Arabidopsis thaliana: one gene and its partners. The protein of the gene in region 3 interacts with the protein of the main gene of each other region in a pairwise test. Each region holds a gene or a part of one and is shown on either strand. Other genes may lie near its edges.

Region 1 (5,162 bases), on a different chromosome or scaffold from region 3:
TAACTTTTTGCGTGCAAATTTGTTTTGTGCCCATTTTGAATTATATTCGATCCATTAATTATTCTCTTTTGTCTTTTCATTGGATCCATCTTGTTTTGCACTATCTCGTTTTTGTTAATTATAAATGCGTATAATTAGCTCTATATTTGAACTTTTAAAGTTGATGAAAAAATTATATTATCCCCATTTGGGTATATCGAACTCTTTCATTCCTTTAGTTTGTCCATATAACTTTGTAGGGACAAAAAGCAGATGCTATTTTTAGATTCAGTAAGTTATCTAGAAAAGGCTTAGAACATAATGGACGGGGCATTTTCTCTCCAGTAGTGCAGACATATATATTCCTTCTACTAATTAGATCAATTCACCAAATATAATAACAATTGAGTTAGTGGTTCTAATGATGTTAAATTTTTTTTATAAAAAAGTTGTCACAAAAGAAAAGTTAGTGGTTTTGACTTAGTTCTAGAATAAATTTACAAGATTGGTATATAATATATTCTATCTTTTCATATTAAATCATATCTAAAGTTTTTCACATAAATTAAGAAATAATAAAAAAAATATTTTGTTTATTTTATATATATAAATTGTTAAAATAAAACTAATTCAACTAGTAAAAAACATATTCTATTATATAAATGGTTACAATCAAATATATTTAAACTTTTGAAAACATCACTTGAAATAAGATAAACAAAATTCTCTGGATCATCATTTAAAACAAAACAGAGAAAGTATTCGATGAAATTAAAACAGTATAACCAACAGCTCAATAATTATTATACTTTTATAATTTTTTTTATTTTTTTTTGAAAAAGGGTTTTATATATGGTGAATTAATCTGATTATACTACATATAACTAAATTGGAAAGGGATAAGAATAAAAAAAAAGAAGTAGACGTCTCAAAACAAAGTTAAGCCTCCATGACGCACATGTAAAGCTTTCATCAATCATTTTAAATTTTGTTTTAGTTAAGAAGTAGCATGTCATTGAACCTTATTAATATCGCGTGTAAATACGGTATTTTGTTTTGTTTTCTGTATTTGCATATTGTCTATACGTAGTACAGTTTTGAAAATTCCATATACTTACATGCTCAGGTAAACAAGTTATACATCCACAAAAATAATTTCTGCAAAAAAGTATATTTACACATAATTTATTAGTCAACATGTTAACGTCTCAAAAGAGTTTCCAAAAACACAAAAAAATGATATTCTTTTGAATCGGGTACTAATTTTCATTTAAGATAATCAAGAACCCCCATGGTGTTCATTGTTTGTTATTACTTATTAGAGTGTTCTTCAACTTCAGCTAATTCATCTTTATCGTTGACTTTTCTACTTCTACAATTTCTTCTGCACTTGTACTCACAGTGATAGATATTAGATATACCATGATACAATTCTTTCATTTATTTGGTGTTTTTCACAAAGAAATGTATATATACCAATAATAATTACGATGGATACAGTAATCAATTATCACATCGAGTGTAGTATTTAAAGATTTTAGATTTTAAACAAACGTGTTAAAGAGAATGTTACAAATAGAAAGGTTGAAGATAGATTTTGCGTGCGACGTTTTATTATTAAGTAACCCCTCCTCGTTATACAACAGTAAATCTCATCTCTTGTGTAACAGATACTAAAAAATCAGGTTCATCAATAATCAAAAGAATGTTGTTCTTACCTCACATTGACACAACTGATGATAACTAGGGTTGTTAATACATCCGGTAACCATAAGAGGAGACCTCGAACTGATTTCTTTCGCTCCGATTCTCGTAACCGTACGGATATGAATCCCCGAAAAGGTGATCGGAAGTTGTCTTCCACGGATCAGAATCGTTGCTTTCCCAGCAAGAAACAGCAGCCCCACGATCTTGTTCATCTTCCTGACGTCTTTTGTTACGTAACACACAAGGAAAGTAACCTCCAAATATAACCTCACAGAGATCGGTCGCTTCTAATCCGTAACCAGACGGAACATACAAAGCTTTCACTTCTCCTTTATCTACGACTTCATATTCCTCATTTCCATAGCTTGAACTGTGATCTTTTTCTTCTTCTTTAGCTTCCTCATCCCCTTCTTCTTCTTCTTCATCATCATCATCACCATCATCTTCGTCCTCACTTTCTTCATCATAATCTTCGTCTTGTTCTTGTTCTTGCTCTTTAATGGTTTCTATTGGTTTGACTTCTTCTACCGGTTCAGCAAAAGACACACGTTTCTTGACAACATTCTTTTGACCACCATCATAAATTCCAAGAGGAACAGGAGCAATAATCTCAGGAGGAGAGGGAGCTTTAGCGTGAGGAGCGGTTGAACAAGGGTAACAAGTTTCCACCGATGGAGGAAGAGGTTTTCCATAGGTTGCAACAACATCGTAGCCACCACCGTACGGCGTGGGATCGTATTCATCGAATTCCGGCTCGTTGAAGTCAAGAGCAGAGGCTACAGAGCAATAGATACTAAACTGAGGAGGAGATTCGTAGGTTGTATAGAGATTCGGATCATAGAACAAGTGTTTAGGCTCAGACATGGTAGAAACAGAGTAAGCAACATATGCAGAGGTTGTCTCAGACTCGGATCCATTCCAGTTATAACAATTATAACTCATTGGATCATCATAACCAGAGTAAGCAACATATTCAGATTCAGATTCAGATTCATTCCAGTTGTAATAATTATAACTCATTGGTTCGAAACCAAGCTGCTGCTGCTGTTGATTGTAATGATAATGATTTTGATCGTAGAGATTATTAACCTGATTGTAATCGTAAGGACTCTGGTAATTCTCATAGAAGTTGGCCATTTGAGAGAGCTTGAAGGATGATCTTGAAAGTCTTTCTCTGCGGTTGATGAGAGAAAACGATTCAGCTGAGCAGTGATCTGTCGATTAAACTAATTTGGAATGTTTGGTTCCAAGTCCGTGAGAGAGTAGTGTATTATTTCCATGTGATGTGTTGATAAGGTAGGGACGACTGATGTAGATGGTGAGTTGGTGACGAGTGTGTGACCCTACAATTGTTTTGTCTTGTCTGAAATTGGTGTTGAGAAAACGTGGGGAAAAAGCAGTGGTTGACAAAGAATCAAACCAAACCAAAACCGAACATTACCTAAATAAACAAATGGTTCAAGTTGAATTTCATCCTAACATAACAATAGCTATTGTTCAAGGTGTGATGATACAGTATCATCATTTGGTACTAGACGATTTTACACACGACTTCAACAAGCTAAGTGCTAACCAAAAGATCAAAACTTGCAAACACTCCATTATCTTATTATAGTTTAAGAGGAATCAGAGGCTGCTGGTTCTTGTCTTGGTTTCCTCTGTTCAGGAGGTGGAGGACCGTCTCTTTTTCTTTCGTATCTCTTACTTTGATACTTAGTGTTATTGCGCTGCTTTGGTTGGTATGTTGGGTATGTGCACGGGATAATCTCTCCATTGATGTACTTGTCGCCTAAACCCGAGAAAGAACGATTCAATTATCAGAACATGGATACTGGGAGAGAGAGAGATCCTAGAAAGTTTAAAATCAGGCTTTGATGGGTTACCTCCATAGTCTTTGTTCTTGACATCTATGTAGGAGTCAGGCAAGACCCAGAGAACTCCAGGCAAACCTGTGAAAATAATGAAAAGACAGAACGATCAGTATCTTGAAGGTTTTCGACGAACTTTCAATAAGGGGACTAAGGCTCTTCTTGCTCACTAACTAACCCTTGAACTTCTCAGATGTTTCTTCGTCGATGGTGCATTGGAATCCAGTATATGTCGTGGTACTGAATGCATACATGTTCTTCTTCGCCTCTTCCATGCTGGAAAATAGACACAAGTACATATAATAAGCAAACACGATGAACTGGTTATGCTGGAAAATGGACACAAGTACATTAATTGGTTATCACATCAGCAGGATAGTGTAAACCGGAATCAAAGTTCTCTAAAATAGAGAGTAGCACCAAATAAACTAAAGTTTTAGTCATTAGTTGTGTAACACAAACTCGTTCCCTGCCATACCAAGAAATTTCTAGTCAGGAGTCCCAATCTAATGCTCTGCACAATTGTACACTCCTTTTACATACATTACTAGCTTACACTGTCCACATCAAGTTTTTAACAAACAGAAACCATGCACAATCACCTACAATTTATACATAGCTTGAAGAAAATATGCAAAAATAGATGCTTCTATTCTTCCCCCTAATTTCATTCATAATTACGCTAAAGAGCACAAAGTTTTAGATATCAAATCAGACACCAATGTTTTGTGTTCAATATGCAGCAATGTTCAATAAGTTTGCACATATCAAGAGACGAAAAACAAGTCAGCTAAAGATTACACCTGATATTAAGAACAAATTCTGGAACTAGGTCAACTTCAGAGCAAATTTAAAGCTGAAAGCTTTACTCAGCTCACTAAACCCTTACCCTAAAGTATCATCAAAAACCCTAATCTAACAAAAAACCAAATCTTCCTATACGCAACATTGGATTCAATCAAAGGACAAGTCCATTAGCAACACAAGTAAATGTCGTCTATTAGTTAACTAATTCAACAACGAAGAGAATCAATAAGAAAGCGAAAACGAACCTGCCAAGAACAGTAGCAAGAGTGTTAAGGTAAGTATCAATCATCTGATCCCTACTTGGCGCTGGATCTTTAGGAAACTCCATTACAATGAGCCAATGATTGTAATCGCAACCAGGAAGCATAATCGTCTCTCTCTGCTCATTGCTATTGCTCCGTTTCGACGAGTAATCCGAATCCACCGTCGCAGCTTTCACAATCGCCACTCGACGCCGAGACCCAGCGGTGGAGATGTTCCGGAGCAGAGGAGTCCATGAATCGCCAACGCGGATACCAGAGAGTGTAGAGAAACGATTCAGGTGGCTTACGGGGAGAAGAGTTTTGAGGAGAAGCGAGGAAGAAGAAGTTGTTGTGAAGGAAGCCATTGCAATTGCTGAAATCGAAGAGAGAGTTTTGGAGAAGATAAGATATATTTTTACTTACCTGCTTCGTGATGAGGATCCTATGAAACGACACCGTTTTTAATTAGGCCCATTAGATAGTTTGGGCCTGATAATTTCTTAAATCATTTTCTCATAATTTCAAGCGCCAAAAAAAAAGAAAAGTAAATTGGGAAAGA
Region 2 (5,247 bases), on a different chromosome or scaffold from region 3:
ACTCATTCAATCTGGAGACCATATTCTGAATACGTAAGTAATCAACAGTACTATAGACTTCTTCATCATTTCTTCATGCCAGGCTTGATTGTGGAGTTTGACAAGTGGTTGACTGGTTGTTGCAGGTTTGATGAACGTATCAGTTCATTTGCTGAACAAAAGTTCACGCGAGATGGTATTGATGTTCAGACTGGAATGCGTGTAATGTCTGTGACTGATAAAGATATCACAGTGAAAGTCAAATCAAGTGGAGAACTCGTAAGTATTCCTCATGGATTGATATTGTGGTCCACTGGAGTTGGAACCCGTCCAGTTATCAGCGACTTCATGGAGCAAGTTGGCCAAGGAGGCAGACGTGCGGTGGCAACTAACGAGTGGTTACAAGTGACAGGATGTGAGAATGTATATGCAGTTGGCGATTGTGCTTCCATAGCTCAACGAAAAATCTTGGTCTGTGAACCCCATTAGACTGTTGATGCTATTCCCTTCTTTTTTTCATATGCATGCTAAATCTTGATAGATTCTTGTGAATCTTAATTTAGGGGGATATTGCAAACATATTCAAAGCTGCAGATGCGGACAACTCAGGAACCTTGACCATGGAAGAGTTAGAAGGCGTGGTTGATGATATTATTGTGAGGTATCCGCAGGTGGAGCTCTACCTGAAAAGCAAGCATATGAGGCATATTAACGATCTGCTGGCAGATTCTGAAGGAAATGCAAGGAAAGAAGTAGACATTGAGGCATTCAAATTGGCTCTCTCGGAGGCTGATTCACAGATGAAAACCCTGCCTGCAACTGCTCAGGTACTTGGTGAATTCACCTATGCGTAGAATCGTGGGTTTTATCTAGGATGTCAGGGTCAATGGTCTGCTTGTTTGTTTGCATAGGTCGCTGCCCAGCAAGGTGCTTATCTTGCAAAATGCTTCAACAGGATGGAGCAGTGTAAAGAGCTACCTGAAGGTCCTAAGCGCTTCAGAACTGGCGGGCATCATCAGTTTCGCCCCTTCCAGTATGCCTAATCTAATGAACTCAGGACCTTGCATCCTCATAAACTTCCAAGATATAGAGATGAAAGCTCTTCGCTTGATTACAGGTACAAGCACTTTGGACAATTTGCTCCACTAGGAGGGGACCAAGCAGCAGCTGAACTACCTGGAGACTGGGTTTCAGCTGGAAAAAGCGCCCAGTGGCTCTGGTATTCTGTTTATGCCAGGTAAACGCTGAGAAACTCTTTTATTCATTATAGTAAATGCACAGAATTTGAAACATGAAACATGAATGATGCAGCAAGCAAGTTAGCTGGCGAACGAGGGCTCTGGTGGTGTCGGACTGGACAAGGAGGTACATATTCGGGAGGGATTCAAGCCGCATCTGACTCAATACTGCATTTTGTAATGTGTTTAAGAGGAAACCAAGATACAGTCTCTCTCTTTTTCGTTTGTTTTTGGTGTAAATTTCACAAAGCTGTGGCCAAACTTCTTGTTTGTGAGTGGCAAAGCAAAAACCTTTTGAAAGAATCTTTCTTCATGAAGCTGACATTTACAAAAGATAACAAAAACTCACAATCTTAATGTGTATTTAGAAAAGACATTAAGCATTCCAACAAAGATTCTTGCTCTGCGAGCCGAAAAACAAAATCAAAACCAAACAAATTCACAATCAAGTAACCACAACAAGAGTTGTGGATTTTACTCAAATTGATAAGCGGATCATTCATTCTTCAAACTTCAGAAGCTGGCAAAAAGTGAAGTTACGATCCTTGGCTTGTAATTCTGCAACTCTCTTAGCAGCACCTGAATCACGAGGGCTCCCTCCCACACGACGAAGCGTTCTGATCTTAGGTAGCTCCTTAACTATAGGAGACTCGTCACCGTTCTCACCACTGCTATACAGATCAACTTCACTTGGAATCTCCCATCTCTTCTTCACTCTCCCTTCACTCTTGTTACTTTCATCAGAAGCTCTTCTCTTCTCCGACCTCTTATGATTCTCTTTCTCTTCATCCTCAGGCAACGACCTTTTCCTAACATCTTTCTCTCCAGTCTGCGTTTTACCCATTTGACTGTACCTACTAGCCACAACTCTTCCTGGTTTCAATGGTTTCCTTAAAGAAACATTCTTTTCATCTTCTTTGAATAGCCTCTTAGGCTGGATTGTTAAGAGAACTCCTTCTTCTTTCTTCACAGCTCTCTTTGACCCCACCGTCGTAGCTGCTTGCTTCTGAGCTGCCGTCATTTTCGCTTTGCGAGATCTCGGACTCAGACTCAAACTCGTTCTTCCTTTACCTCGTGTCGTCACTTGACCTTCTTCGATTCCAGGAAGCTTAAAGAAACAAGACTTGCGTCGATTCTGAGCTGATTGAAGAGGAGTCACAGTTTCAGATTTCTTCGCGGAATTGAATATCTCCGCTGGTCCAAGACTAACGCCTCTACGAGTGGCTCTTGATTTCGATCCTGTAAAACACGAATCGTCGAATTTCACTTGTTTCTGAGATGATTCCATGAACTTCGCCGGAACGATTCTTCCACGTATAGCAATGCTTCTTGCGGTTTGCTCCGCCTTCTCTAATCGGAGCGACTCCAATTTCGTCGATAATCGTCCGATCTCCTTCTCTACTTCTTCGATCTCTGCATCGATATCTCGCTTTTTACTCCGATCTGCGGCGGATTTGGTCTTCACGGTCTTGGATTTTGCTGACGGAGCTTCGGTGATCGAGACTGAGGATTGGAGCGAAGAGGAAACCGAAATCGGAAACTGATTCTCCTTGCTACAATCGGAATCGAATGATTCGTTGAGGTGAGACCAAGAAGAAGCTTCGATGGCGGAAGTGATTTGAGAATCTCCATCGTCGAAGGCAGCGTTGTTCCAGATCTGAAGCTTTGGAGGAGCGTTAAGCGTTTCTGTTGCCTCAATTGATGTCATATTCAGAGCGATTTGATCTTCTTCTACGAGAAATTTAGGGTTTGGAGAAAGAATTGGACACTTGAGGAGGAAGAAGGAAGAAGCGAGTATTTCTTGAGGATTATTTGACCGTTGGAAATGAAGGAGACGTTACTCATTACTCCATTAAGGAGCGTCGTCAGATTTGGACCGTTGGATTAAGCAGCCACGCTCCGATTTCATTCAAAGCCAAGTTACATAAATGGGCCAAATAGCCCAAGAGCTGATCTCGTTGTGGGCCTCTTGTTCCTCGCACAATTGGCCCGACGAATATAACATTTCAGTTTGCTCGTAAGATGAATTATAGGACCTACCTCAATAATGACAACCACAATAGATAAATAAATAAAAGCATTATGGAGTGACTGACTTGTCTGTCTCTTTGGATAACGATGGTTTTGGAATATTTTAGTACTATTGTTTAATTTAGAATCGTATTTTACTGTGGATAAAGTTGAAATTAGTGGTAATCGCAATCAAGATTCCAGATTGTAATAAAGTTGGTGAGCGAACGATGTTTTAAGATATAGAAAATGAACAGAGTTCTCTCATAATCCAAGGCTTGCTTTGATCTTTTAGAACATTCTAATATTCACAGAGATGTAACCAAACTATACAGTTGCATCCAGAAAATCCGACTCAAGCGATTTCATAAGCACGAGTCAACCACCACAGATGAACCAAACTATATACAGTTTGCATCAGAAAAAAATTCTGATTCAGCGGAGTTCATGAGCGAGCCACGACCATCATTATCTGAATTTAGCCTTGAGCCCAGCAGTTGAGGTACATGACTTGTCGGAGAGACTCATCGGGAGTGGAAGAAGAGGTACGACGTCTTTCTTCCGAAGGGAGAGAGTCGCCGGTTAGATCTGCGGCGGCGAGAGGACGGAGATCGGAGGAAAGTCTTCGTTGGAGACGGTGAGCAGAGGTGAGACCGCTTTTTAACTTGACGCCGTGATCGGCGTTTCCTTGAACAGCTACGAACGATGCTGCCATCCACACTTTGTTCAGATAACTCATTCTTTAATAGTGATTATATGTTGTAGATCCTTTCTTCGTAAATTGGAAACCTTTGAAAGATTTGAGAAGCTTTTGTTAAAAAGGAAGATTAGTTCGATTTTTGTAGGAAGGAAATGAAGAGATGAGGTTGGTACTTATAGCCAGAGGGATATTGGGGTGAGGGTAAATAGGTAAATTCAAAAAGATCTAAAATAAGCGATACCGTGCACAATGGATTAGTGGGATCCAGGTATAGGAAAGCGATACGGTACGATATGGTTAAGTTATCGTGAAATATCTCGGGGGAAATTGAAAGTGCTGAGTAATGAGGAAACAAGTGGCGAGCTTAGAGGGTCCTATCCTCAAGATGAGTCACCCTTGCTTCAATTATCGACCCCTTCATGTGGGCCCCATTCTTAATTATTTTTGTAATTTGGTTTTTTTTTTTTTTTTTTTTTGTTGAATGTAAATTTGTTTTGTTTTGTTTTGTTTTATACGAAAATGAAAAACCGATAGGTCGGCCTAAAACCAAAATGGAACGATGGTTTTATGTGAGGGGTGGGGTGGTGCCTAGAGACTAGGATAGAGTCCCACGAGGGGATTGGTTACGTGTTAACCGATTATTGGGTCATCACGTGCCCCTTCACGTGATATTACTGTCCATCAATACTTCTTGTCCCTTTGCTTCCGGTTAATTTATTATTAGTAGTGAGTATTTGTTTTTACTTTGATTTGCTAAGTGCTATCTTTAATGACTAATCCAACCAATTATATGTGAGTAGTTTAATTTTATTTTATTTTATTTTATTTTATCACCAATATATTAATGAGTAGTTTTAACTATCATATTCTTCTGTCATTCTAATTTGAAAACGTTTATTAGTGGAATGAGTGAATCTTGTGATAGTTGGACTTGGCTTTGTGAGGATGTGGGCCGTTCACATATTATGCTTATCCCACTTATACTAGATAAGCCCTGTCTGCTTCTTCTACTAATCTAAGCATATGTCTATCACATTTATGCTCATGTCAAACTATCTTATTGCATCACATATCTTCTTGCATTTGGCTATAACCAGTTCTACATTTTCTTTTCCCCGATTCTTATATGTCAAATTTGAATCCGTCAGATAATACTATAATAACCATGACTATTAACTTGTATAGACTGTATATCTCAATGTTTGATGGTCAAGTTAAAACGCCATTGCACCTTGAGAAAAGAAAATGCATGTTGATCAGATCATAGCTACGCGGAATCACATTCCTTTGACTTCACTTGCTTTTTTTTCCAGGTGATTC
Region 3 (5,992 bases):
TCTATTGGTCTCACTATACCAAATTACCAACTTTGTGAAACTCACCATAACTTGTGTGATCCATAAAATCTTAGATTAATTACTGTTAAGTTTCATGAAATTTTAACTCAAAACAATTTGGCAATAAATAGATTGACATTGTATGTCCAAAAACCAAACTGAGTATTTAACAAAACCAACTATTTCCGACCAATGAATGCGTCTAAAATGTTTGTTTCCAACAAATTTCTGATCATTGATTTCGTCGGAACTAACACAAATAATAATTCGCATAATCATAATAATTCTCCTAATCAGTTCATAAACTTGAATGACAAGTTAATTTACTCATTTTACCATGACCATTAATTCATAAATTGAGTCACAAATTAATATCAAGATTTGACCATGTCCCTTATGCAAGAGGGGGTTGGAAAGCGATGGGTCTATAGTGTTACAATTAATTCTCTAGTATTCATATAACCAAAACACAATTATAATATTTTCACATTAAAGATAAATTAAAAACATCCATATAATGTTTCACATTTAATAATATACATATTTTAAATATTTTGTTAACATTTAAAATTATGATTTTTCTATCATTTTTTTTATTTTTTAAACTACTTTGAATCATCATATAATACATAACACTAATTAAAATCTAATTTTTTCTGGATATATTGTGATTCGGATGTTTGAAAACAGCCATATATTACTCACATAATGAAATAAAATTATTTGTGTTCAAAGTCTCACATCAGCTAAAACTTTGTGTCCAAAATCTCATAAATAAGACCAAATTGAACCCAAAGAAATATGAGTGAGTAGGAATCCTAACTTAACAAACATCCAAATTTAAATATTTGTTCAGTTTAATTCGGTTCTTTAGTCAAACCGTTTAATTATACCAGATATCATAAATTCTAAACTTTTTAAAAAATTAAAATATTATAATTGATCTATTTAAAGTGTATAAAAACTTCAAAATATTATCAACGTTTAACTTATAAAAAGTTTAAAATATCACGGTATGGGTTATATGGTTTGACGAGTTTGAATCTTCATTAATATAAATTTAAATATCATTAACTCGGTGGTACAACATGGGTAAGTCATCATTTTAATATTTTGTTAACACTAGCAATATTATAATGATATGTCAAGTTAAATTGATTCAATTATGATTATGTATTAAAACAAGATATATAAGTATTAGTTTTCTAGGTATCTGCAATATTAGAAACCAGATATCCAAAAGTCACGGATCTGGATTGTTAAAGCACAGTTCTGAATACTTTTCAAATTCTAGGATATCCGGATCCATTCTACCAATTACAATCCTGCAGAAGCCTTGTTGGCCACACAATCGACACAAGAGTTAGCTAGCCAAAAAGTGCCTTCAACTTAAGAAGATGCAAACCGGAAAGAAAAAAACATATCTTTGGTCCGAAGGAAATCATGTTTTATTATCAAATTTAACCACCAACAACTACAAACCAAATTTACAACAACAACAACCAAAAATAAAAACACATACACACAAGTGATAGCAGCAGACAACACAAAACATAACAAAAACAGAAGCTTCCCAAAATTCCGAAATTCAAAATCCTCTTTAATTTCTCATCATATAGTAGTCGAGTTACGTTGGCATGGTTTCTAATAGTTATTATGCGGAGTTTTAAATCTTCATCAGTTGTATTCTTTCGAATTTTGCGAACTCAGAATCGACTGCAAATAAACATGTTTAATTAGATCAAATGGTTAGAGATTCCGAGCTTGCCTTGTAACATGACATGACAACAATGATTTGGCTATAAATTACTTGTAAGTTACTAGTGAGAAACATAGCAAACCAATTTTCAAGTATACCACAGTGTTAGTTTTGACTAACATTAGGTCTAATTCGGTGAAGTCAATACTAATCCAAAGTTTCATCTATCAATGCGAATAGATTTAAAATTATTGAGGAGCACAAACAGATTCAAAATGTTAAATCATTCAAAAACATTTAGTAATAGAGCAAATTATTATGCATTTACCATATTTCATTTTTTGTGCTACAGTATATCCACAAATTAAAAAGTGATGTGATTAATACATACCTTCACTTTAGGATAAGGGAAGCTAGTTTTAGCACCACCTCTGCTTCCGAAACTGAACTTTGATTTCTTGTCATTAGATTTTAAGATCTGAAAAGAGCAGGTCAAATCCTCAGACACACTCATCATCGCACCTGCATTGTCAAATTCCCCACAGTAATTCGGCGCAGAGAATATCGTTACGAGCTGCTTATTCGCAAAGAACTCGAATCCATCTTCAACAACCTGTTACAAAATCGTTGCTTGTGTCAAAAGGAAACACGTTAAAAATGTTTCTTTGGGCACAAGGAACAATAAACAAACCTGGTGAGCCCTACAAATGAGGTCAAGATCGAGTCTTTTAAGAAATCCAGAAACTATATCTGATCCAAAAGTGTAAGAAACTCCGCGATCGTTAGGCCCCCAACCTCTAACATCTTTATCAGGATCAGACCACAAGAGATCACAGAGTAAACCACGATCAGGAATATCCGTTGGACGACGAATATCCCTAATCTGCCTCAAGCTTAGCAGCTCCGGGGAGAGCCCACCATGCATACAAAAAATCCGCTCATCGATGAGTGCAGCGACGGGGAGACAGTTGAAGCAATCAGTGAAGATTCGCCAAATCTTGACACTGAATCTACGTTTACACTCGTCATAGAAGCCGTAAATACGATTGATTGATGCACTTTCATGGTTTCCTCTGAGAAGGAAGAAGTTTTCAGGGAACTTAATCTTGTAAGCAAGTAAAAGACAAATCGTTTCGAGGCTTTGCTTGCCGCGATCGACATAATCTCCAAGAAACAAGTAGTTTGAATTAGGAGGGTATCCGCCATGTTCGAATAGTCTCAAGAGATCCGGATATTGTCCATGAATGTCCCCTGTTTATTATTTGTTTAACCAAAAGATTACATAGGAGCACAATCTCAGAAAAGAGTCAGAGAGAAACAGAGAGAAACGTACCACATATTTTAACAGGAGCTTCAAGTTCCAAGAGATTTGGTTGTCTCAAGAAGATATCTCTAGAGACGAAACAGAGCTGTTTGATCTCTGTTTCAGACAACTGAACAATCTTTCCTGGTTTTTCTCTAGCTTCAAGCAACCTATTGATCACCGAGTTTAAAGTACCAGGATCCATTTATAAAACCTCAAGAAACAGAGCAACAATGAGACAAAACAACAACAACGCCTAGAAGCTTTATAATATACAAAAGCTATTGACAATATGGAATAAATTTAAAAAGTATGGAGCTTTTATGTTCTTTTATGCTTGCTCTTTGAGAAAAAGAATGGTGATTGTCAAATTCAAGAAGGGCTTTATAAAGCCGCGTTTAAGAATATATTCTTCATACCTTTTTAGCAAAAGTCACATGTGTTCATACCTACCTACATTGTTCTAACTTCAACTAAATCATATAATAATCAGATTCTAGCTAATTTAGTAACACATTGTTTGTGTGTGTGTTAAGCTTCACAGGATTGAATCCTGTCCGGTACGTCATGATTCAAATTTAAGATCTTTCCGCCGGTACTTTGAGTGCGAAAAACGCTCTTTCTTCTTCTTCTAGTATCGATGTTTTTGGATTCGTCCGCGTCATATTAAGCAACTTGGCTATTTACAAAAAACATATTCTTCTTCCTTTGTAGCCAAAAGCCATGGGTAAAAACCTACCCTAATTGTTCTAACTTCAACTACATCTAATAACCAAAAATGTTAGCTATATTTTCTCTTTTATGGTCAAAACATATTAGCTAGTTTAGACACTTTCTTTGTGTTGAGCTTTTTAGGCTTGAATCTAATCGAATTCAAGATACTTTTGCGTGTAAGTAGAGCACAAAAAACGTTCTTTCTCCATCACAGTATCAATGTTTTTGGATTCAGAGTAATTCACAAAACCTTGTTCGTTGATTTGTTCGCATCATCTTAAGCAACTTGGCAATGACAAAGAACATATTCGTTATGAAACTACCGGATGTGAGAGGACACCTCAGGAATAACAAGGAAAGAGAGAGCTCGGAGAATATTAGTTTGGCTTTTGCCTTTTTTCTTCTATTAGAACCAAAAGATATAAAGGAAAGATTCCAAGTTTAGGAGGAAACGAAGAGTGATGCCTCATCTTATGACTTCTATAGATCATTTCATTTTCTTAGCTGTATCTTATTAGACATAGGTACTTAGAAAAAAAAAAAAAACTTAAACAAGATTCATTCATGTACTCACAAAATCCAATATTTAAATGAATAAAACTTCTCAGTCATAAACAGCAAGCTTCTGATACTCCTCACCTTTAATGGCTAACAACATGACATCTTCAGGATTCACAATCCCACCTTCCTCAAGAAACAGAGTCAGTAGATTCTTCGAAAACCCGCTAACCATAGCTACACCTTTCTGCTTAGACACCACGGGTGTAGCTGACGAGTCTCTTAAGTTCCAAAATACAATTTCAGGAACATTCTGAAAACCCTTCTCTTTATACTTCCTCTGAACAACTTCATAATCCGTCTCCCATTTCTCAAAACTCTCCGGGACACTCTCGTAGTCACTCTCCAAGTTACTCGCGTAGTCACTCATTTCCGAATGGCTGTCTACTCTTGCATCATCAAACTCCATGTCACTGAACACAAACAACCGCTTGATCATCTGTTCATCGGTTAAGTTATTCTCGACAGCAACCTCTAGAATCCGATCAAACACCTTCTGGAAATCTGTGTTGATTCCAAAATCCATTTCTCTAACAAACTTAGTCTTCTCTCTCAGACTCGAACCCGTGACAACATGAAGCTGCGGGTTTTCGCTAAAAGTGATAACTTTCCCTTTCCACGGCTCTTCATTAAGTTCCGAAACCAATAACCCTAACGCAATACAAACATTCATAGGTGTACCAGCCATGCTTCCCGAGACATCACAAATCGCCAATGAGTTCTTCAACTTCCCTTTCTTGGCAAGATCATCAACCATTCTCGCCCATTGAAGCTCTGCTACTTCTTCACCTTCACTATCATTCAAAAGCTGACTGATAATCTGATGAGGAAGCAACGCACCAGCCGCCATCTTCTTCTTCCCGGATTTCACATCCTCCAAAAACTCGGTGAACCTCTCGCTATCGTGTTCCGCAAAGCGTGAACTATAATTCTGCATGGCTATAGAAGGAACTCTATTGTACTTCAACAGATTCCATTCCTTGGCACTCATAGACACCTCTGGCAACTCAAGAGCTTTATGTAACGGGACAAGAACTTCTTTTCTCAACCTATCTCTAATCCTATATGCATAATGCACTTCTTCGATACCTTCTTCGTATTCCTCTCTAAGGAACATTCTTCTAGCAATAGCCTCACATATCAAAGTAGTCTTATCATACGAAGAATCAACAGAAGGACACCATTTCGAAGCTAAACTAATCTTGTTCAAATTATCTGTATTCAAATACTCCAAATCTGATTTCAATAATTCCGCAAACAAATCGGCAATTTGATCAAAGAGTAATCTGTAATTAGCATCAGAGTTATACCTATCTAGAGCCTTTTTCGCCTTTTCGAACTCTCTCTGTTTCCGTAAAGCCCTAGCCTTGACTTTACCAACAGGACCACCAGTCTCCTCCGCGGTTTCGAGAATCCGATCTTCCATGTCACCGGATATGGTAGACTTTTTCTCACTATCCCCTTTGAACTTCCTCTGAATCCTCTTCCTCCAAACCCGAGTCTTACCTCTCTCCGTCTGCTGACCTTCCAAGATCCGAAGCAGAATCTCAGGTAAATCTTTGAAATACCCAAAATCGACAAGAGTAGGGATATTCAAAGCTAGAGTTTTTGGGTGGTTCTTGTAAAGCCACAAGGCAGCTGTGTAAAACCCTTCCTTGTCTGATTTTCCAGTTCCTCTAACACCTCTGAGATTGCAGAGGAGCTTCAACGTAGTCAAA

What was found. The genes of interacting proteins can lie anywhere in the genome.
Region 1: the proteins of TOPP6 (region 3) and AT1G11440 interact in a two-hybrid assay, tested with the Arabidopsis thaliana proteins (one large-scale study listed by BioGRID).
Region 2: the proteins of TOPP6 (region 3) and AT4G28230 interact in a two-hybrid assay, tested with the Arabidopsis thaliana proteins (one large-scale study listed by BioGRID).

Annotation. Positions count from the first base shown.
Region 1 is NC_003070.9:3,847,079-3,852,240, reverse strand, and holds AT1G11440 (uncharacterized protein), read right to left. Parts: upstream 3,041-5,162; 5' UTR 2,824-3,040; coding exon 1,732-2,823; 3' UTR 1,506-1,731; downstream 1-1,505. Other genes in the region: MORF9 (plastid developmental protein DAG), read right to left, coding at 3,303-3,475, 3,570-3,635, 3,733-3,830, 4,607-4,968.
Region 2 is NC_003075.7:13,994,274-13,999,520, forward strand, and holds AT4G28230 (uncharacterized protein), read right to left. Parts: upstream 3,035-5,247; 5' UTR 2,926-3,034; coding exon 1,717-2,925; 3' UTR 1,506-1,716; downstream 1-1,505. Other genes in the region: NDB1 (NAD(P)H dehydrogenase B1), read left to right, coding at 1-33, 126-450, 543-806, 891-1,012, 1,097-1,216, 1,291-1,378; AT4G28240 (Wound-responsive family protein), read right to left, coding at 3,706-3,966.
Region 3 is NC_003076.8:17,418,620-17,424,611, forward strand, and holds TOPP6 (type one serine/threonine protein phosphatase 6), read right to left. Parts: upstream 3,364-5,992; 5' UTR 3,208-3,363; coding exon 3,033-3,207; intron 2,951-3,032; coding exon 2,391-2,950; intron 2,313-2,390; coding exon 2,091-2,312; coding exon of another isoform or gene 2,064-2,090; exon of another isoform or gene 1,717-2,063; coding exon 1,678-1,716; 3' UTR 1,326-1,677; coding exon of another isoform or gene 1,311-1,325; 3' UTR 1,171-1,310; downstream 1-1,170. Other genes in the region: AT5G43390 (plant/protein), read right to left, coding at 4,321-5,992. UniProt on the Arabidopsis thaliana protein: Serine/threonine-protein phosphatase that possesses phosphatase activity toward para-nitrophenyl phosphate (pNPP) in vitro.